2 linked regions of the Oryzias latipes genome follow. The protein of the gene in region 1 purifies or fractionates together with the protein of each later gene. This does not show direct contact. Links are inferred from orthologs where the notes say so. Each region holds a gene or a part of one and is shown on either strand. Other genes may lie near its edges.

Region 1 (10,725 bases):
GGCCCTTCATCATTTCTCTAGTTTTCTTTTAACTGTCTAAATTATTTGTCTAATTTCTCATCTTAATCTGCCACAAATCTTTAACATTTTGTTAAGGTCGTCTCTTCTAAAGATCCAGGTTTTCCAAACCCACCAGACTATGTGGATAATTTATGTTATCTGTACATTTAGGCCCATCCGTTCAGCTGCTTCTGTCTCGTTTCAGGAACATTTCAAGTTTACGTTCTTCTTAGTTTTCCAAATTCAGTTTCAGTTATTTATGGTTCCTTTCCTATAAAAAAAAGGGTGGAGCAACATGTCATAGCAACAGTTTAGGTCTTCTTGTTCTTCCTTTCCTTTCTTCCCTGTTGACCTACATATCAGACAGTGACGTCATGTATTGTAGGTAGCATTTTGTTAGAATTGATCCAGTATCCCAACAAGAATGTTTGGAGTTCTGACATGAACCCACATGAACCCATGGTCATGACATCATTTCTCAGAGACATAGAAGATAAGCTTTGTTTACCTGACCTTTGAAATTTATAAAAACACAAGACCTTGAGGCTCTTTTTGGGAGTTTTCAGGATGGTTGGGATATGGACGGCACATTTTGGATGTTTTAGTGATAAATGCCGAGAAGCAGGCTGTTTGGGTCATTGATTGAGGATCAGTGATTTTGCTGGTTAAAGGATGCTGAGGTTGTATGGAAAGACAGCAAAAGGACGAGGGATGTAGTGAAGAAGCCAATGAGGGAAATTTTACTGAAAGCTTGAAGTTTGGAGCTGAAACTACTGCGATCCTGCCATAGACTGTACAAATTCTGTGAAGGTCAGAGGTCATCTGTCTGTCAGAGTGCTGCCTTGCGGGGCTAATGGTGGTAACCAGAGGAAAACTGTTTTGGAAGCAAGCAAAATCAGTCCAAAAACACAAGACAGCTTCATTGAGGAGGAAAAACAAAATGGAAAGATGTTTAGACCTCATCTGACTGAGTTAAGATCTGAGTTTATAATTCCACATTTAGAATAAAACCTTTAGACAAAAATGGATCCATGAAGGAGTTCAGGGAGAAAAGACACTGCTAAGCAAAAAGAACAATAAGAAACATCTGGATTATCCGGTCTAATGAACAGATCGGACTCCAACTAACTCTTTCAGGGTCCATCTGGAGGTGGGAGTGTGGTTGTGTGGAGTTCACGAGAATGTTAAAGAGGATGAAAGTCCACCTCTGAATGGTTCAAAAACTAATTGATAGTTCTAGTTAAAGTTTGGACTCTTTAAAGATACAAGGAAGACTCACTAACTGGAATCAGTTCTTTCACTTCTTACAGCGCAATGCTATGTGCTTTCACAATCTTCTCCACAGACAAACACTCACCTTCATCAGGTCGCGGTGATGCTCCAACACACTGCAGGTGGTCTGCCAGGTGTCCTGGTAGCACTCCCAGGGGTCCACCCTGCAGAAAACAACAATCCTTCAGGAGAACATCATCCATAGCTGCTTTTAATCTATATGAAAACAATTTAGACTTTTGTTCCAGAGCGGAGAACTTATAAAGTTCTGACTGGTAACAACAACATCATGACTGGAGAAGCTTTCAATGATTCAAGGCTTTTATTATGAATTCTACAGGAAGTCCTCTGAAAGAAAACACAACCAAGCCAAATGAAATCAGAAAGTGAGTTGAACTCACCTGATCCAGTCAGAAGACTGGACGGCCAGCTGACACATGGTGAGGCGGTGTCGGCTGGACACCAGGCCCTACAGACAAACAACACAGAACCAGAATAATCACAAGACTTTTTTGTTTAGTTTCTGAGCAGCAGCAGCAGCTATCTGCAGCATCCATTATTCATGCAGAGCTTCCTGCAAGGCAAGAGCGTGCTACATCATTGGGGGTTGAGCTCCAGCAGCAACACACAAAATAAAACATGCACGCAAACACATACAAACAGCAGCAGCTGAAACGATCCAATCAGAACAATCATCACTGTTGTGTCTGGACTACAGCTCCCATCACTCGTTTGTTTTTTGTGAGCAAACACGATCGAGACCTTCTGACTGACAAATGTTGACAAATTCTGCAAAAAGTCAGACAATGGTGCTTCTACTAGAAGAACTTCAGTCTAACTTTTGGACTCATGTTGTTCATACTCACCGGTTTTCCGTATGAGTCGTGCACTGGTGAGACGATCCCTCCAATCACGATGAAGCGTCCCGTTTTGTGCAGATATTCTCTGGCTTTTTCTGCAAACAAGTCGAGGGGCATCGGCAGACAAACAAACCCAGTTAACGAAAATCCCATTTGTAAAATTCGGGATCTATTGAACCCACTTAAATAGCGGGAGTAGTTAGATAATTGTAAATTGACTATGAAAATATGAAAAAAAAATCTGACTTTATTCTTGAAAGCACTTTTTGTACTTTAGTAACCTGAAGTGCTTTACAAAATAAAAGCGTCTTTCAAACTTAAACACAAACAAGGACCCTTTATATTTAAAGAGAGATTTTAAAAATGTCCACAACACCCCAAGCCCTGCACTACCATCATAGTGAAACCTAAAATTACACATGGAAAAACTTTAAATTTGAAAAAAGAAGCAGAAAAGAAAATTTGGCTTGGTATACATGGAGTTCAAATTCATCACCATTTTATTTCAGAGAACTACGTATTTAGGTAATGATGTCACTGTCAAACTGCGGCAATATCGGAAATCATCCTACTTAGTGCGCTATATGGGACATTCTGCATTTTGTCGGAGATTCCGAATCTACAATTCCAAAATCCAGTGCCCTAGAAAATTCCCAGAAGTCTCTGTGAAAAACTACCATGCACTGATGCTCACTAGATTGACTAATACAGACCACAATGCATTACTTTTGAACAACTTGTCTTTTGAACAAGTGTATGAAATTTTATTTAAAAAAAATTGTCCAACGTTTTTCTTATCAGATCACAGTAGATTCATAAAAGGTCTTTGTAAAATGTTCCTTTTCTTTTAAAAGTCTCTACTTTGGCAAATGGGTGACGTCATATTTGGTGTTTAAAAAAACAACAACAAAGTAGTGAGTCTCCAAATCTAAAATTCACAGCACTAGATTGTCTCCTATATTAGTGGTTAAGTGGAAGTGAGGGAATTCGGACATGGTTAGTCCCAAAACTTCCATTGTGTCCTGTTGTAAACATTGATAGATGCTTGTCACTGTATCATTTTGCTTTTGTAGTGTGGAAACATATATGTCTGTAAATTAAATATAATATTGCTGTTCTCTGTTTGCACTCCATCAGAAAGGCACACCGGTTGCTTTGGACCCCTGAGCTACTCAGTGGTCTTATGTGACTTCAGGCTATACATTTTGTTAAAAAAATCCATCTATAGATATAAAAAATAAAATTATAATATATGAGGTGTAATTTATTGGATATTTAGATATAGATCGATGTCCCCTACATGTCATTGAGGGGACATTTGTGTGTCTGTGTGTGCTCTTTTCTACAGTACATGAGTTTTTCCAGTAACTTATTATTAAATAACTTTTTTTATTATTATATGGTGCTTTTGATGATGCTGTTTATGTTACTCAAAAAACCCAATAACTTAAGAAATCAGATAAAGACTGGATATTTGGTGAGCGTATTAAAAGCTTCAATAAAGACTATGTCTTTAAAACTAAGATGATCTTAGTCCAGCTATAATCTTTGGTCTGGGACTGGGCCTGAGGAATTTGTTCTGGAAAGTGTATTGATATTTTTTTAAACTTGAATCTTTTAATGTTAAGGAGGACAACTTGTTTTGTAGGTGTCTTCCTGTTTTCCAGTCAAAAGTCGGGATCAGAGTTGATGACTCATTTCTGCTTTGGTGCTGGTGTTTTTCTGTTTGGCTGCTCACGCTGATCCAAGATCTGTTCCAAAACCTTCATACCCTAACCACTCCTTATCCCACAAAAAGTGCAGGTCTTTCTAAAGTCCTGGATTGGAATTACATTTTTTTGTTTTTGAAACGGCAAATATGACGTCACCCATTTTCGGAAGTAAAAACCTAATAAATATGAACATTTTATGAAAGACTGTTCATGGATCTACTGTGTACTGATCAAGGAAATTTGGATTATTTACAGAAAATACATTTACAATCATTTTTTTCAAATGACAAATCATTCAAACACAATGCATTGTGGTCTATATTCACCAATCCAGTGAGCATTCGTAGAGTTCGTAGAACTTCAAAAACAAAAGACCATGACTTCTGCAGACCAGAACTTCAGATTGACCAGGACTTTAGCAAAGACCAGAACTTTAGCTGGATATAGACCTCGTCAGGATTATGACTTCAGCAAAGACCAGAACTGTATCATAGATCAGACCAGCATAGACCAGAACTTTATCATAGATCAGACCAACTTAGACCAGGACTTTATCATAGATTAGACCAACTTAGACCAGAACTGTATCATAGATCAGACCAACTTAGACCAGAACTTTATCATAGATCAGACCAACTTAGACCAGGACTTTATCATAGATCAGACCAACTTAGACCAGGACTTTATCATAGATCAGACCAACTTAGACCAGGACTTTATCATAGATCAGACCAACTTAGACCAGGACTTTATCATAGATCAGACCAACTTAGACCAGGACTTTATCATAGATCAGACCAACTTAGACCAGGACTTTATCATAGATCAGACCAGCATAGACCAGAACTTTATCATAGATCAGACCAACTTAGACCAGAACTTTATCATAGATCAGACCAACTTAGACCAGGACTTTATCATAGATTAGACCAACTTAGACCAGGACTTTATCATAGATTAGACCAACTTAGACCAGGACTTTATCATAGATTAGACCAACTTAGACCAGGACTTTATCATAGATCAGACCAACTTAGACCAGGACTTTATCATAGATCAGACCAACTTAGACCAGGACTTTATCATAGACTAGGAATAGCAAAGACTAGGTCTTCAGCTGGATCAGAACTAGATAAAAAAATATTATCGGAAAAAGCTTGTTGATGTGCCATAGACACAACGGGAGGACACAAGCTCCCAGCTCTGCTCAAGTCTGATGCATCCACTTGTTGACACATAGATCCGTGTACGTCTTTATTTTCCTCGTCTGAGCTGCATCTGGCTATAAACTGCACGGCTGGATAGCTCCAATATTTTACCATTTTTGGTGAGCAATATTGTAATGTTAGGTAAGGGGTGTGAGGAGCTGTAAGCTAATGAAAGAGAGTGTAAACAAATGGATGAGGGGAAATAAAGGCGGGCTTGCCCCCAACTCAAAGGTGAATTCTAAAGATGTCCTGCCACTCTGCAGAAACTATGGCCTAGAAAACAATACTGGTTTATTGATTTTGGATAAAATTCTTTCACAATAGATCAAAAGAGGATTTAAGGTGGGACTTTACCAGAAATAAACCATGACTTCATCAGTGAGCAGGATTTCAGCAAAAACAAACCAAAAGCTCCAGCTCTAAAGCAAAGCTCTCAGAAGTGTATCAGACAGAAACATCCATCACTTAGACTCAGATGTTTGTCTGCAGGTAAACAGACCTCATCTGTGTGTTCTGACTCTGTTCTGGGGTGGGGTGCGGCTTGATCAACCAACCATCGTCATGGTCATCGTCGGTATCAAACAGAAATGGGACTCGGATGGAGGCTCCCATCCTGCTCTGACTCATCAACCCTGGTGGATTCTGGGTCGGCCCGCAGAATCTCGGCAGGTCCGGATCATCGGCGCCACAGGATTGAGGCCCGGACCCCGAATCCCAGACCCAGTTCTCTGCTGGTTCTCGGCTTGAACCGAACATGTCAGGCCAAGCCTCCAGCTCATCATCGGAACCGAACCCGACCCCCCCCCACCACCACCACTCCCACCCCCGCAGCCTCACCGAACATGTGGATGTGTCCTTTGGTGATGGGGTTGAAGCTGCCGCACGAGAGCAGGATCACGTGCGTTTTACTGCTTTCCGTCATGGTTCCCGTTCGGTTCCGAGTTCCGGTCCTGGCGGGTCCGTCTTCGCCCGGAGGAGAGCAGAAAGATGCTGCGGCAGGAGGGTGGAGGGAGGGCGGGGTCGTTAAAGAGACAGGCACACGGAGGAAGGGGGCGGGGCTTGTGAGATGCCACCTTAGGGCCCCCCTCCCTCCACCCCCTGCCCCAGACTCCATTATGAGATATAATTAAAGAAACACGCGAACAAACGACATTGGTTTGTCCCAGATCTTTCTTGACGTTCTTATGGGAAGAGTTTGAACCAAATCAGGAGAAGATAACAAGCTATGACAAAGATTTTTATTAAAATGGGGTGCAGGGAAACGGGGCCTCTGAAAGCACTGGGGACCCCCTTCCCCTCCCCTCATCCATGAATCCCAGTGTGGGAATCTTCAAGTGAAAAAAAGAGCAGAGCAGCTATTTTTACCAACTGAGGATGTTCCTCTCCAGCTCAATCCACTGAGTCTCATTGTTTGATTTAAAAATACATACAAATCTAGAAAAATGTGACATTGATAATGATTGATTAGACTCCTATCAGCCCTCCCAGCACACACAGCAGGTATCCTGAATTTCTATACGCTAAACTCTTTGGTCTTTCGGGTTCCTCCGTCTGCTGCCTGTTCTCTCACTGCTGCAGAGATTTACATATCTATTCTAAAAGCAGGTGTTCCACTTTTCCTGTGCTTGTCTTTCTCTTTACTGTCTTCTCAAAGCCCAACCAGTCAATCTGAAAAACGTTTTTTAAACTATTTGATTTACTTTAACGGTTTCGTGGCACAAATCTGCCCCCCCCCCACACACATTATACTGTGGTGTGAGGAAGTTTTTGACCCTCTTCAAGATTTCTTATTTTTGCCATGTTTTCCACACTTAAATTTTTCCTATCATCAAACACATTTAAATATGAGTCAAAGACCACACAAGTAAATGTATAATGCAGTTTTCAAATGATTTTTTAGTATTACGGGAGAAGAAAAAAAAACTTTGGAGTGGCCTAGTCAAAGTCCTGACCTGATCCAATGAAATGCTGTGGCGTGACCTTAAAAAGGCAGTTCATGCTCGAAAACCCTCCAATATTGCTGAATTACAACAATGCTACAAAGATGAGCAAGCCGAAAATCCTGCACAGCGCTGTGAGAGACTCATGGCAAGTTATCGCAATCGCTTTATTGCAGTTGCTGCTGCTAAAGGCTAACTGAATGTTTGATGTAGATGGCAATCCATATTTCACACAGGGCAATAAAGGTTTTATTTATTTTTTTTTAAAAATAACTGCATTTTATTGTTAATTGTGTTGTCTTTGACTCATTTTTAAATGTGTTTGATGACAGGAAACATTTAAGTGTGAAAAACATGGAGAGAAAAAAATCTTGAAGAGGGGCAAAAACATCTTCACACCACTGCATGTATTTATATATATATATATATATATATATATATATATATATATATATATATATATATATATTCAACTGAGACATCAACAGTCGAAACAGCTCGATGCTGAACCTGTGCCTGCTCTGCTCAAGTGAATTTAAGGTAAGGCGATTTGCCTTCTGGTTTTTAAAGTCGAACAAGACAGAGAACCAACACAATTTTCTTAAGAATGTAAAAAAAACCCACTTTATTTGATTAAAAAAAATCATCATTGATAACCATTAATTACATAATTCTCTACAGAATGAACAAAGCAGATTGAAGCCCCCCTCACTCAGGATGTCTAAAACCCGTTTCTCCAGGAGTCCCCAGGGAGCCCAGGTCACCTTAAGTTGACTTTAAATTTGTGCGGTGTTACCATTGTAGCACAGACCTACATTTCTTCTATTCAGCTCAGCTGATTTCTGTCTCAGAGTACGTTGGCTTGAAGTATGACCCCCAGCCCCCCTTCCTCACCGCATGGTTACACCTGTGGTTGTGTATTATCTTAGACGGGTATGACAGCTGGTTTATTTCTGTCCGCTGTGAAGCTACACAACTCCTACTTTTTGGGCATTTCTGAATGAAACTCTTAACTTTTATGGTTGAAAAAAGGTTAAAAAATATATAATAAAATAATCCACCCCCTAGCCAGCTGGTGCAGGTGCAATGAGGTATGAACGCGGTAGAAACTCTTACTAGGAGCTTCTTCCTCAGCGAATTTCAAATAGACTAATGGATAAAAACAGGTGATGCCGTGATAAGAAATTCTTACCAGCAGGTGGTATAACACCTGGGTTTTTGTTTGTTTTGTGTAAATACTTTGTAGCTGTAAACAAAAGTACAGCATTTTTGTACATATTGGGGCCTGGGGGGGTCATTTTGGACTGTCTATCTCCATTCACTCCAGACCTGACATGTAGCAAGTACGACCCGTTACAAATCGTTTCCATTTTTTCTACAACAACAAAAAACTTTCTACTTTAGAAATCAAAAACAATAATGGCACAGAGATGGACAATTGTTCCTTTGAAATCTGGACCAGAGTACTTCAGGTTTCCAGCCTCAGCAGGGCCGCTCAGTTCTACTGCAGCATGTTTCGGATCTGCTTGGAGGTAGTCTCGTCGTTCAGGTGTTTGGTCGTGTACCTGCAGGCAGATCAGACAGAACTTTTCTAACTTTACTGTATAACACATACTTGAAGGGGCGTTCAGCAGTGTACGGACCTGAGAGCGTTCAGCAGACCCTCCACGCTGCTGGGGGCCTGCTCCCTCAAGACCCGGATGCAGCCTTTCATCTGAGGGACACAGAAAGAAGGTCAGACAAGAAGGGCTGGGAGTGGTGCCGAATCTCTGGCTATTAACGCACATCGATGTTGGACGTCTTCACGAAGGCGCCAGCTGGGTGAACGTGGTCGTACAGGATGATGACCCCCACCATCACACGCAGGCAGAACAGCACTGTCTCTTCGCTAGTGAAGCGGCTGCGATACTCCCTGCGCTCACACAGAGACACATACATGACCAAAAACACCAAAATAGAGTTCCAGAGTTGTGGTGATGCATAAACATTTGGTGATGGATTCATGAACTAATCAGGACTCACGGAGTTTCCAGCATCACTTTGCACACACAGGCCATTGTGCTCAAACAATCCGTTGTGTTTTCAATGGGTACGTCTGGATTCTGGACAATTGGGTTTAATTCACACAAAAAAAGACAAGCAATGGTTTATTTTTTTGTACTAACTTTGTAGTCAAAACTCTCACAATGACGACAGTTAAAGTTTCCAATTCACAAGAAAAATGTTTAAATGTAAAAATGCTTTAAAAATACAGACCACTGTCTAAATGGTCTTCATGAACACAACAGATAATATAATAGTGTTTAAGAGTGAGTCTTAAAAACCACACCCTGACAGAAGTGCAAGTTTAAAGAGTTAACTCAACAAACTGACTTTTCAGCATAAACCTCAGAAAGGTCTAATGTTGCTCAAAGACCCACTGTAATGATCATTGTATTTTTAGTGGGTTACATATTCTTGTAGCATTTTTCTCACAATAAAGGACATATATAAAATAATTCAAAATTAACACTTCATTTCTGAGAATTTCGTTTTTCTAATTTGGAGGAATCAGAAGCAGATAAAAAATTGTCATTTGAAAAATCTCTCAGTTTTGACATAGAAAATTAAAATGGGCTGGCCAAAGTTTCCCTGCTGCGCTCCATTCTGATGCATCCATTTGCAGACAAATAGATCCATGGACATCTTTTTTCTCGTCCGAGCTGGAATCTGGCTCAAAATTGGACAGGTGGATAGCTCAGATATTACTATTTTTTTTGCTCTGCTAATGCTAGCATGGGATTGTAAGAGGGGCTGTAAGCTAGCGGGAGAGTGTGTAGACAATTGAGCGAAGGAATATGAGTGACGGCTTTTTTCTGCACCAACAGTCCTGCCAACAACTTAAAGGCAACGAACTCTTGTCGCTCTGCAGAAACTATGTCCTAGAAAACGACACATGTTTTTTCTATTTTGGCTAAAATGGCAAAATTATAATTTAAAGCCCACTGGGAACACTTGAGGATACATAGATGATTGGAGTGGGATTCCAATACTATATTGCTTAGATCCACCTCTTGTTTTTTCAACAACAGTTGAAGTGAAGGGTTCTGTGTATTTGGGAAGGAAAACCCAAGTAGATACAAACCTAACTTTCCACAAAACCTACAGAGAGAAAAATCCCCTAAACAACCAAACTAACTGAGCTTCAAGTTTTTTGAAGATTCCCAAATACATTAGTAAAAGAAAGTTATCAGTGATCAAGTTTCACTCTGTAGATCTGCAGTTTGTAAAGAAACTTAATTTAAATCAATCCACAAGATGAAAGCAAAATGCGACCCATATTTACTTAATTATGCAGAGAAAATTAATGTTTTGATTAAACAATAACTGATTAGAAAAAAAGTCTTTTTCTCTTGGTGTGCTGGTAAAACTTTCTTACATGTGTCAGTGAAAAAGTGAATAAACCTGACGGACTCACATCTGAAACAAACTTGGAGGTGGCGTTGCTCAACGTCTTAAGCATGGGCGTGGCATTGGCATAGAAGAGGGACATGTGGTTGGCCAGCTCGTTGTTCACTTCGCCGCCTGAGTCGGACTGATATGACAGACATTACTCACCAGGGATGATCGTTTCATGCTTACCTTTATCGTAAACTGTCTTTAAAATGAGTGTGCGTGTGCTGCGCTTGTGCTCACGGGCAGATTGTTGATGCGCATGCGGCTGATGGTACGGCGGTAGTAGCTGAAGTCGTTC
Region 2 (10,943 bases), on another chromosome or scaffold:
CGGGGGTCCGGTATGTGGGCATGGTGACGGCGTGTGGGGCGGACGGAGTCGTCAACAGCGTTCCTGGGGAGGGGAAAGCCCACGGAGCTGCTTTCATTTACGTCAGAAGCTTGCCTTTGTAGTTGCAAATGAGCGATAACTGTATGAGAACTGGACTGAGTGACCCCTCCCCCTTTGCGTTCTAAACAGGAAGTACCTGCTGACTCCAAGAAGCCAATTTCCCACAGATTTATTTATTTTTTTTTTTACAGGTTCTTACTAATCAGAATTTCTTTAAACCATTTTTTTTCTTTACTGCAATTTCTTCAAGTTAAAAACGGACCAATCAGGTGTATCCATCGCCGTTGATATGGTAACTTCGACCAATCACATTGTCTGGCGGCTTCCAAATCAGGAAAACAAATGGACTTCATCCAGTCATTCTCCATGAGTGGCGTCCCCCTCGCTCGGTCCAGTTCTCCCGTATGGTCAATGGGAATTTAGCTCACCAGCTGACATGGCCATGGTCGTGCCGGCTACCATCCCCATGGCAACACCGTTGGGGCGGGCCGGAGGGATGGGCGGGGCGTACACCGCTGCAGGCATCCCGTTGGGCTGGACCACCGTTGTGTGGTGGATGACGTGCGGCGGGGCAGCGTATAGCGGCTGCGTGTAGTAGGTGCCCTGCTGCTGTGACGGTATTAACGCCTAGAAAACGATGCAGAGAGGCTCAAGGGAAGAAGTTGACCTTACCTCACCCTGATAACCTGGATCATTTATACTTCAAGGAAAAACCCAAGTTTGTGTGAAAAGACGAAAATACATTTTCATTGAATTATTGAAAATAACATTTGTCTTTTTGTCTGTTTTCTATTATTTTAACTAATGTTTTTTATTGAAAAATTGTTATAGAAGAAAAGTTGCTTCCCAATTAAAAGGGTTCTGACAAAGCTGTGGTCACATGACTTATTGGTTTGTATGTTTAAAGTTCTAAAAGCCCCGCCCCATTGTGTGATAAACATCAGTCAAACATGAAAAAAAGTGGCAATACGATAAAAAAACCAAAAATTAAACAGAGGCTGATGTTTCTGTTATTAATGGTCCGTTTTATATTCCGGTGAATGTAAACTTCCGGATTGAAGCACATTAAAAAAGCAGCTCAGTTCATCACTTTTTGATTAAACTTGGGACTTTAATTACTTTAATGTAGAATGATCCATCTACACAACAGAAATCACTACTTTTGAGATTTTTCATTTATGAAAAATGATGGTCTGAACCAAATGCATGCTGGGGGAAACTACAATGCTGCTGTGCAGACTATAACTATGGGCTAAGCCCACTAAACATGTTGTTCTTTGAGGCCTAAAAAGCAAAGCTGGTCCCACTGACCTGTGCATAGGGGTTCTGTTGGGCGTAGGTCCCACTGACCTGTGCATAGGGGTTCTGTTGGGCGTAGGTCCCACTGACCTGTGCATAGGGGTTCTGTTGGGCGTAGGTCCCACTGACCTGTGCATAGGGGTTCTGTTGGGCGTAGGTGCTCCTGACCGGGTACACAGCAGCAGAGTACGGGTTGGGTGAGGAGGAGTACGGTGGGACCGTCCCCGTGTTGGGAGAGCAGGACATTTTGAAGGGAGTGCCAGGAGCGTAACCTGGAGAATATGGACAGTTCCCGCTGTAGAACAGGGTCGTACGGTGGAAAGGTCTCAGGTGGGTTTCATCCTTACTGCTTTGAAAGGCCGGGTTGGCTCCTGCATAAACACCGGGGGAGTAGGCGGGGGCGGCAGCTGCGTAGCCGACAGGGAATCCGGCTGCTGCAGGCGGACGCAAAAAGATTTTGCTCAACTTCCTCGCACTTTCTGCCAATCAACTTGGCATCCAGGAGAAACGCGTGAGCTCACCTGGATAGCCTAAACCCTTGGTGTTGGTGAAGGGGACCCCCGTGGGTGTAGGGCTGTAGACTGGATTCATGTTGGCTGTGCAGCTGCTGGAAAAACAGACGGACGAAAACGGGATGAGGATACTATGATCTCCCAAAACCATGAAAAAGTGCAAAGAACCCAAATCCTGACTATTAAAATGTAAAAAGGAAAATCTAACTGATATTTTAGAGGGATCATAAACCCCTTAAATCAGATGCTTTGTCATACATGATCATGGTTTTATTCTACAAAAGCTGACTTTGGAATAACAAAAACAGGAGTCAAAAGGTTTTGAATTCATTGTCCTTCCTAATTTCTTTCAACTGATTCGATATTTCCACCTCCGAGTGTCAAATATGCGCCTAAAAAGCAAATGTACTCTTTGTTTTCTGAGAATAAAATACATTAATTTGTTTATCTCATTAGAGAGCAATCGGAAGACACAGCATGAGGTTTTTATTTTTATTTAAAATCATTTAGAATTTCAAATTTGGCAACAAAATTGTTGAACTTGAAATGGCAGGAAGCGTTGGTGGGAGGTAGGGTTGGGCGATGTCCCTTAAATTGGCCGTTGACGATGTTTGCTGTCAACCATCGGGATGGACGATGACATCGTGGGGGGGGGGGGGGGGGTATTTTTTACATTTTTCGTTCTTATATAACTGCTATTCGTTTTTTTGCTTTTTTCATTTTATTTCCCTACTGATGACTAATCCGCGATGATCCAGTATAAACTGAGGGAGGTGACTTTAACAAAAAAAGTAACAAACAAAATAGAAAAGAAGTAGTCCGCTCCCGCACTTCCGGGGGAGTGCGGATTTACAGCTTTGTGTTTGATGGGAAGGGGGGGGGGGTACATGAGCGGTATGTGTGGGAGATTTAAGACTGCGATCCGTCCCGCAGCTCTAGGGGTACAAGCAACCGAACTCAGAACCGGGTCTAAAAGTGTGTGTCTGTGCACAGCTCGGATCGTCAGCACACACAGTGGTTTGAGCTTCAAAGCAGAAATGTCGCTCAGTCCTTAAAAAACATTTAAACAATCACGCGGATTTGTGTTTCCAGTCGTGTCCCGACTAAATAAAGGCTGATGTTATTCTTACATGTTTACGTGCAGCCAGCAAGCAGCGCCACCCAAAGCTAATGTTGTTAGCCCGTGTTAGCATACTGCTAATCCTGGCTTCGTTCAGAAAAAGAACTGACCACACGGATTAAAATTCAAATGATGAGCGAACAGGTGTTTCATAATAACCGTAACATTATTAAAAGCACGTTTAGAAGATCATCTCGTATTTTACCGAGCTGACATGTCAATGTATATAGCCGCTCGGCGCTGTTTATCATTGTTTTGTATTGAATTGTTACATACAATAAAGTTTGAAAAAAAAAAGCCGCTCGGCGGAGTTTATATCCTTCCGTTTTTCAAACCCTACTGCGCATGTGCGAATGGTTTATTCCGATGGAAAGTGTGACCTTAGTGAACGTTTTTATATTCTGAAAACATTTTTCTGGGCCCCATCTACACGGTTGGATTCTAATCCGACCATTGATCCCATCAAGATATTTTGTACATGTAACCGCGGCTTATGGTGTCGACGCGCAACGTGGCGGGGGCGTGGCATCACGATGGTGGTCTCTCCATCGGGATGTCAGTCACCCATCACGATGGACGATGATATCGTCCATCGGCACAACCCTAGTGGGAGGCATATAAAAGAGTTTAGTAGAATAAATAAATAAAAGTGTTGAAGAAATGAATTGGTTTTAATCAAATACCATAGATTGTTGTTTTAAAAGACCCACTCTGATGAGAATTGTGTTTTGGGTATTTTTAACATGTTCTTGTGGCATTTTTCTCATGATGGAGGACTTAGATGGGGAAAATTAAGCTCATAATAGCATTTCTGAGTATTTTTTTATTTAAACTGTTGTGAATCGGGAGCAGACAAAAAAATGCAGTTGGAAAAAATAAAAGCTTATTTGTGACGTAGGAAATACACTTGCTTGGGATGTCAAACTCTGTGCTCCGGTGACGGGGCAGGTTTGCTCCGCACCATCAGTCATGCTACAACTCAGGGGTGAATTTCTAAAGAACTGTTGCTACTCTGCGGAAACTACATTTTTTGATGATCAGAGTGACAAACAACGACCTTTTTTGGTTTTTCTTTAAGCAAACATCACCTTTCCCCAGGTATTTTATCTTGATATACCTTTAAGCAACTAATCAATCAATCTGATTGTCGTGTGCAAATCTGATTTATTATGTGAAGTGTCTGCTTTTAACTTTTATTTTTATTTCCAGTGAAAGTTTGAAGTTCTGTCTCTTCAGCATCACTTAAAGCAGAGCTCGATACTGCCCTCTGGCGGTAATTATGAATAACATGCATCAGTTTGCAAACATAAAGAAAGAAAGAAAAATCTTAAATTAAAAACTATTTATTTTTACTTAAATGTTCTAAACACTTTCACTACTTGGTTGAAAAGATACGAATTAAAATGCTCATTAAACCCTAAAATATCCTACTATATTTGGTTTACGATACTAAAGAGTAGATTTTAGACATCCCAAACCAAGAAATAAAAAAGAAAAAACATTTTTAAAAAATATTTTAAAACAATATTACTCATTTATAACGGTTTAACAATTCTCCAGTGCGTATATTAACTATTACTTTAATTTCTCCGAGAGAGAGAGAGAGAGAGAAAGAGAAAAAAATATATAAATACAATTTGGTTAAAGATTTTTGGATGGAAAGTGCATCTTAAATATTAGCTCGTTTTCTTTTAAAAATACATCTTCATATGTATATATATTGTGTGTGTGCTCTCTTAAAGGTGACTTTAGGAATGCCGCCTGTAGAAATAAAGATGGCACCTGTAAGTAGAAGAATTTGGAAAGGTGACCACAGCGGGGCTTTGTTATAATGAGCTAGCTTAGCCAGCTGCAGCAGACACCGCAACACCTACGCCGACCTGGATGCGTTTTGCAAATAATTAGGGATCCGCGCAAATAGCTGAAGAAGAAGAAAAAAATCATCCGTCGGACGGCGCAAACCACTCCAGTGTCCCCGGACAGCACGCAGATGGGGGGGACAAGCTTGTCAACAGGCCGCGCTGCACAGGAGGCAGGCAGGCAGCCAGACAGCTGTGACGCCTGTCCCATCACCGCGGATGTTATCGCAAATGTCATAAATAACCCCCCGAAAAAACTTACTGTTGAATGTCTTGACCGTCCGCCCGCACTGTCTTCTGTGTCTCTGCTGTTAAATGAAGCTGGAGCTAGCTGATGTTTTGTTCCCAGATGCTTTGCTTAACTCTTTTGAGCACCCCGCGTCACTTCCGTGTTGTCACGTGACGTTCATTCCTAAACACACAATTTTAATCGGAATACTTTCTTTCTTTCTGTTTTTATTTTTACTATCATAATGCATCACTCAAAAATAGTATAAATAAATAAATTATAAATTCGACAAAAACAGATTAAAAAATAATTTAATAAGTTGTGCGACACAATTATTTAAAAATAATAATTTTAATTTTTACAGCGTAACACAGTCACTGTGCTTAATACTACAAAGACGTAATGTCCAATTTTGTAAGCCTGCTAAATCGTTGTTATCATTTATCATGGCTGCCATTTGGTCTTTGCAGATCACAAAAAAAGATGACTCAAGTTTATTATTTATCTTATTACATGTATTTAGTTACAACTTTCTAATTTGATATGACATATTTAAAGTAAAATCAAAAAATAAATTACATTTTACTATTTTTGCGGAACAACGCAGTAAATAGTTTTCTTTTTATCTTCCAGGACCTTGACGTATCGTCTCCATTCAGCCGTTGAACTGGGAAGAGTCCATACTGTTTTGATTGAAATGCGACCTGAAAGAAGATTTTCAGAAAAGAAAATGTTGCTGCTTAAATGAATTATTGAAGTTCTCCGGCGGTGAAAGGTTAAACTCGTCGTTCGGCTTCTATCGTCGGTGAGAGCCAGCGGCACAAATGTCTGGAGCGGCCGGCGGGGTAGGAGGCTCCCCGTGTTTGGGCGCAGCAGCAGCGGCATCCAGTTGCAGCTCCTCCGCCGGCTCTACCTACGCCGCTGCAACCGCGGGAGTGGCCGGGAGGCTACAAGCTCGAGTGCTGGAGCACATTTTCTCCTATTTGGAACTGGCTGACTTGATGAGCTGTTCGTTGGTCTGCTGGCACTGGAACAATGTCTTGGCGGATGAAAACAGCGAGGTGTGGCGCAGCCTCTGCAGCCGGACTCTTGGCGATGAGGCTCTGCGATCTGACGTCCTGTGTAACCTGCCCACCTACAAGGGGAAAGTAGGTAAACCGACCATGACAGACCGGCGCTGTCAGTCTCACAAAAACCCGCCAAATAACGAAAAGCCTAGCATGCTAGGCTAACATACCGTTGTGGCTATCTAATATTGGGTACATTTCAACCAATATTTACTCAAATTAAAGCAATTTAAAACCAAAAAAATGGAAAAGCTATTAAAATAATTGAAGTTAAATCAGACAAAATTGACAGGTTATCCAAATGAAACCATTTAAAAATAATTTTGTTATAAAAAAAACAATATAATTGCTTATTTTTAACCAAATAAAGGCAAAATTCATTCAAAGTACTTTTTAAATCTTCCAAATATTTGAAAGTCTACTTTTAAAATATATCTATACTTTGTTTTTTTTTTTATTACATCCAATTTCAATGTTCAAACTTTTACGTGTTTTCCTTCAGGGTTTATTCATTTAGGCTAAAAAACAGGGATGCTGGGTAATGATAGCAGGATATCAGTTGCTAATTATAGGGAAAAATGAGTAAATGCGGTAATTGTTTTGCAGTTATTGTTTATCTTCAAATATAAAACAGTTTTTTGAATTAAAGACAGACAAACTTTGACTTTATAGCCAGCGCAGTTATGTGGTGGAGTTAAACGTCCTGCAGGAAGCCATATTTGTAACATTTGTGATGTGCGTCCCACTCTCTGCAGCTCAAAGCCTTCCAGCACGCGCTGAGCTCCCACGACTGCTCGCGCAACGTCTATGTGAAAAAGAACGGCTTCACGCTGCACCGCAACCCCATCGCCCAAAGCACGGACGGCGCGCGAGGCAAGATCGGCTTCATGGAAGGGCGGCACGCCTGGGAGATCTGGTGGGAAGGCCCCCTGGGCACCGTGGCAGTCATAGGCATCGCCACAAAGCGCGCGGCGATGCAATGCCAGGGTTACGTGGCTCTGCTGGGCAGCGACGACCAAAGTTGGGGCTGGAATCTGGTCGACAACAACCTGCTGCATAACGGCGAGGTCAGCGGGAACTTCCCGCAGTGCAACAACGCGCCGAAATACCAGGTGAGGGCCGGAGCTGCAGGGGTATGTCGCCTCCCTGAACCTCATTTTCTCATCATCGTCTTGTTTGTTGGCAGATTGGAGAGAGGATACGAGTGATCCTGGACATGGATGACAAGACGCTAGCCTTCGAGAGGGGTTTTGAGTTTCTCGGAGTAGCGTTTCGAGGACTTCCCAAAGCCTGCCTCTTCCCGGCTGTTTCTGCCGTTTATGGCAACACAGAAGTCACCATGGTGTACCTGGGAAAGCCTCTCGACGGTTAGACCAACCTGTTCCATTATTCAAAGATAAGCTTTAGACAGCTGCAGGACCTTTTTGTTTTTCGTCACACTATCATCCAAACCGTTTGAGACCGCTGGAGGACAACTTCTCCCCAGGCATCTCCATCCACAAAGAGGACTGCTTGCGTTTTCTACTACAGAAGAGGAGTGCATGCAGAGTGTCATGAAAAGGGTCCGGGTTTCCACGTGGAAGAGTCCACTTTTACCGTTAAGCTGCTGACGTTTGGTTGACAAAACAGGAAGCAGAGCGGCTAACAGCTTTACACACACTTGAGGTCTTCTGCCCGCTCCACTGACGCCAAATCTACTCTAATTATTGACAACAACTACTCAGATATTATAAGTGAAAAGGTGGCTTTATGCTGTACAAGTTCATAAAACAAGTCACTGGATTCTCTTAATAACCAGTGACTGGATTATAATGAAGTTATGCCAAACCATTGTCATATGTTTTTTTGTTTTTTTCTTAATTTTATTATTTTTATATAGTAAAAAATGGAGGAAATGTATCACATCTCCTCTTTTTAAAGAACTCCTCAGTATTGGTGCAAATGTTCTCGTTTTATGCTAATGTGTGTCCTTTTTATTATGCTACTGTAGTGTTCAATTTATTTAATTTATGGTTTTATCCTCGGTACCACAGACACTGTATGGTTGTGAGGCCTGTAAATAAAGTCGACATGGTGCCACCACGATGAAAAAGTGGGTGTGTTGATTTTGTTTCATCGTGAAAAAAAAGTACACCCTTCTTTGATCTTATTTGAGCCTTAGTTCTCAAAATTAAACCCAAAATATATTTTAAAAAAAAAACATTTTAGTTTTTTTTTCAATGCTGTTGTCTGTCTAAAGGCCTGTTCACACCGGGACGAATTTCGCCCGCGATTTTCGCCGACGTTTAACGCCCCGTGACTAAACAAAGGGCACCAATGTGAGTGTGCACACCGACGCAAAAAAACGCCACACGTCAAAGCGTCACTTTTTAAAAAAACGCCTCGGGTTCGTTTTTTTTGGTTTGTCGCGTCGAAATCTATTCGACCAATGAGAACGGCGCTTTTGCACACGTGTCTGGAGCCTCTGAAGTTACAGTAAAACACAACTTGGGGGCGCACAAACACAAAACTGCCTTGCTGAGCACATATACCAGTGAAGAAGATAGACGCCAAGTAGCGTCTACACTGCCACGAAGAAATAATGACGGACATTCTAAAATATCCCCGAACCAAGCACCAGTTGGAGCTACTGGTGCTTGGTTCGGGGATATTTTAGAATGTCCGTCATTATTTCTTCGCGGCTGTGTAGATGCAACTCGGCGTCTATCTTGGAGCAACTGGTGCTTGAAATATTCATGTTTTCTTTGTATGATTCTGACAAGCGTGTAAATACTTGCTCTCTTCTTCTGAGTGAAAAGCGACTTTAAGAAGCGTAAAGTTGCGCAGCGCCACCTTGTGTACAGGAGTATTTCTGTTTACATTAAGCGCCATCTAATGTCAGGGAATGAAATTGCATGTTCGCTCGGCTCATCGTCAGCGAAAATCGCCTGGGTGTGAACACAAAAAACGCTGGCGAATAACGCCTGGCGAACATTCTTCCCGGTGTGTACCGGTGTTAAGGGGGGAAAAGTATTTTCTCCCCTGCTCATTTTGTATATTTGCCCCAAATTAAGTCAGTCTGCCGGTCTCTCACAAAGCCCAGATGTGAAAACGGCAGCATGCAAAGAAGAGCTAGAGAAAAATAAAAAACACCAGCGCACGCTGTAACTGTAACTTTAGCTAGTGGCCTCTGTGTAGCTTTAGTTTAAGCTGATGAAGGAGCGGAGCGTTTTTAGCAGGATCCAGAAAGAACTGGAGGATAAATCTGTTGGATTTACAGCAGCAACTTAAAGTTTAATGAAAATATGTTTGATTTGGGGACAATAGAGTAGTTGGATACTTCTGCTACGACACTAGGTGCTACAGTAACGAGCTGTTCCATGTGTCACTGCATTTAATTACGGACCGGTTTAACCCTTGTGCTGTCCTATGACCCCACCCTTACATTGACGTGTTCTCCCTACCATGACAAAGGTGGATAAAGGTGGAAAGATTTCATGTAATCCATGGACACCAGTGAGGTTCACAAAATATTGAAGAAAAAAGATTCAGTGCACTGTTTAGTGGGTCTAGATGACCCAACTCCCAACGTTAAAGTGCCTAGGATAGCACAAGGGTTACAGTTTCTGCCAAACCAAATATGTGGATCAGGGAAAGCTGATTGGCTGTGGCAACCTCTGAGGGGATATGCAGAAAGGTGAACAACAAAGCTTAATTTTTGGTTAAGCCAATGCAAATTGTTCTTATGGGACAGGGACATTTACATATAGAAGGATAGAGTGCATGGGTATTTAATATGAGGTTACCAAAGCCCAGAGTCACTCCGAACATCTTCTGATCTCTTGCAAATACTTCCTTGTGGTCTTTTAATTATGATAATGCTGCTTTTAGGTAAATGAAGAAAACCAAGTCGTTTTCCAGGACATAGTTTCTGCAAAGCAGCAGCATTTGAAATTTGTGTTGTGGGCGAGACCGTTGGCACGGAAGTAGCCCTCTGCAGATATCCCATGATCCCTTATTGACACTCTCTTCCATTAGCTTACAGCCCCCCACACCTCCAAGCTAACGAGTAATGTTGGAGCTATTCAGCCATACCGTTTTGTTACCAGCTCATCTACAAATGGATGCATTAGAATGGAGCGGAGCAGAGCCTTTGTGCCCCGCCCAGCTTTGTTTCGACATCACAAAAATGATCTTTTTTTTCCCCATGGCACTTTTTTTGTCTGCTCGCAATTTACAACGATTGAAATAAAGAAATAATCTGAAATGCTAATGATGGAGGCATCATCAGAGAAATGCTACAAGTTGGTTTGAAAAGTGCTTCATTCTGGAAGTCAAAGGGTTTGAGAAAACCTGAATGTTTTGATGCATGAAAATGTATTTGTCATTGTTCTCCAGGACCTGTAACTGTAAAATCAGGTCAGATGATCATACCCTTACTGCCATGCGTTACAGTTAGAAAAGGTTTTTTTTTTTTACCTATAATAATTATTATTATTATTATTATTATTATAACCTATAATCTCTCCGCATAATCAGAAATCGCTTTTTTTTCTGGCCAAGTGAGTGAGGCAACAGCTATCAGCAACCACCAAAACACAGATGTAAATAAATTAAAATATATATATATAAATGCAATGAAATATCAAATCAACAACTCATAATTCATGTAAGTTTTAAGCGAGGTGGACCATCCCATTCAAGCTCACAGAAAACAAGAATTAGACAAATCTCAGGGTTTCACAAAAAAGAGCTCCAAGTTCCAAAGATTGAAAAAGGGTATAACAACAAATTCACTACAGTCCAGAACTGACATTA

What was found.
Region 2: the proteins of nmnat2 (region 1) and fbxo45 purify together in Homo sapiens (co-immunoprecipitation; 3 studies listed by BioGRID and IntAct, with this or other methods). This does not show direct contact. The link is inferred for Oryzias latipes from reciprocal best matches to the Homo sapiens genes NMNAT2 and FBXO45.

Annotation. Positions count from the first base shown.
Region 1 is NC_019875.2:12,700,157-12,710,881, forward strand, and holds the start of nmnat2 (nicotinamide/nicotinic acid mononucleotide adenylyltransferase 2), read right to left. Parts: upstream 6,085-10,725; 5' UTR 5,975-6,084; coding exon 5,890-5,974; intron 2,228-5,889; coding exon 2,139-2,227; intron 1,742-2,138; coding exon 1,674-1,741; intron 1,437-1,673; coding exon 1,358-1,436; intron 1-1,357. Other genes in the region: protein FAM49B, read right to left, coding at 8,494-8,557, 8,636-8,706, 8,778-8,904, 9,015-9,094, 10,450-10,566, 10,668-10,725.
Region 2 is NC_019878.2:11,798,099-11,809,041, reverse strand, and holds fbxo45 (F-box/SPRY domain-containing protein 1), read left to right. Parts: upstream 1-5,682; 5' UTR 5,683-5,903; coding exon 5,904-6,227; intron 6,228-6,901; coding exon 6,902-7,258; intron 7,259-7,332; coding exon 7,333-7,518; 3' UTR 7,519-8,238; downstream 8,239-10,943. Other genes in the region: fam168b (myelin-associated neurite-outgrowth inhibitor), read right to left, coding at 1-63, 489-687, 1,489-1,793, 1,881-1,950. UniProt on the Homo sapiens protein: Component of E3 ubiquitin ligase complex consisting of FBXO45, MYCBP2 and SKP1. Functions in substrate recognition but also plays an important role in assembly of the complex.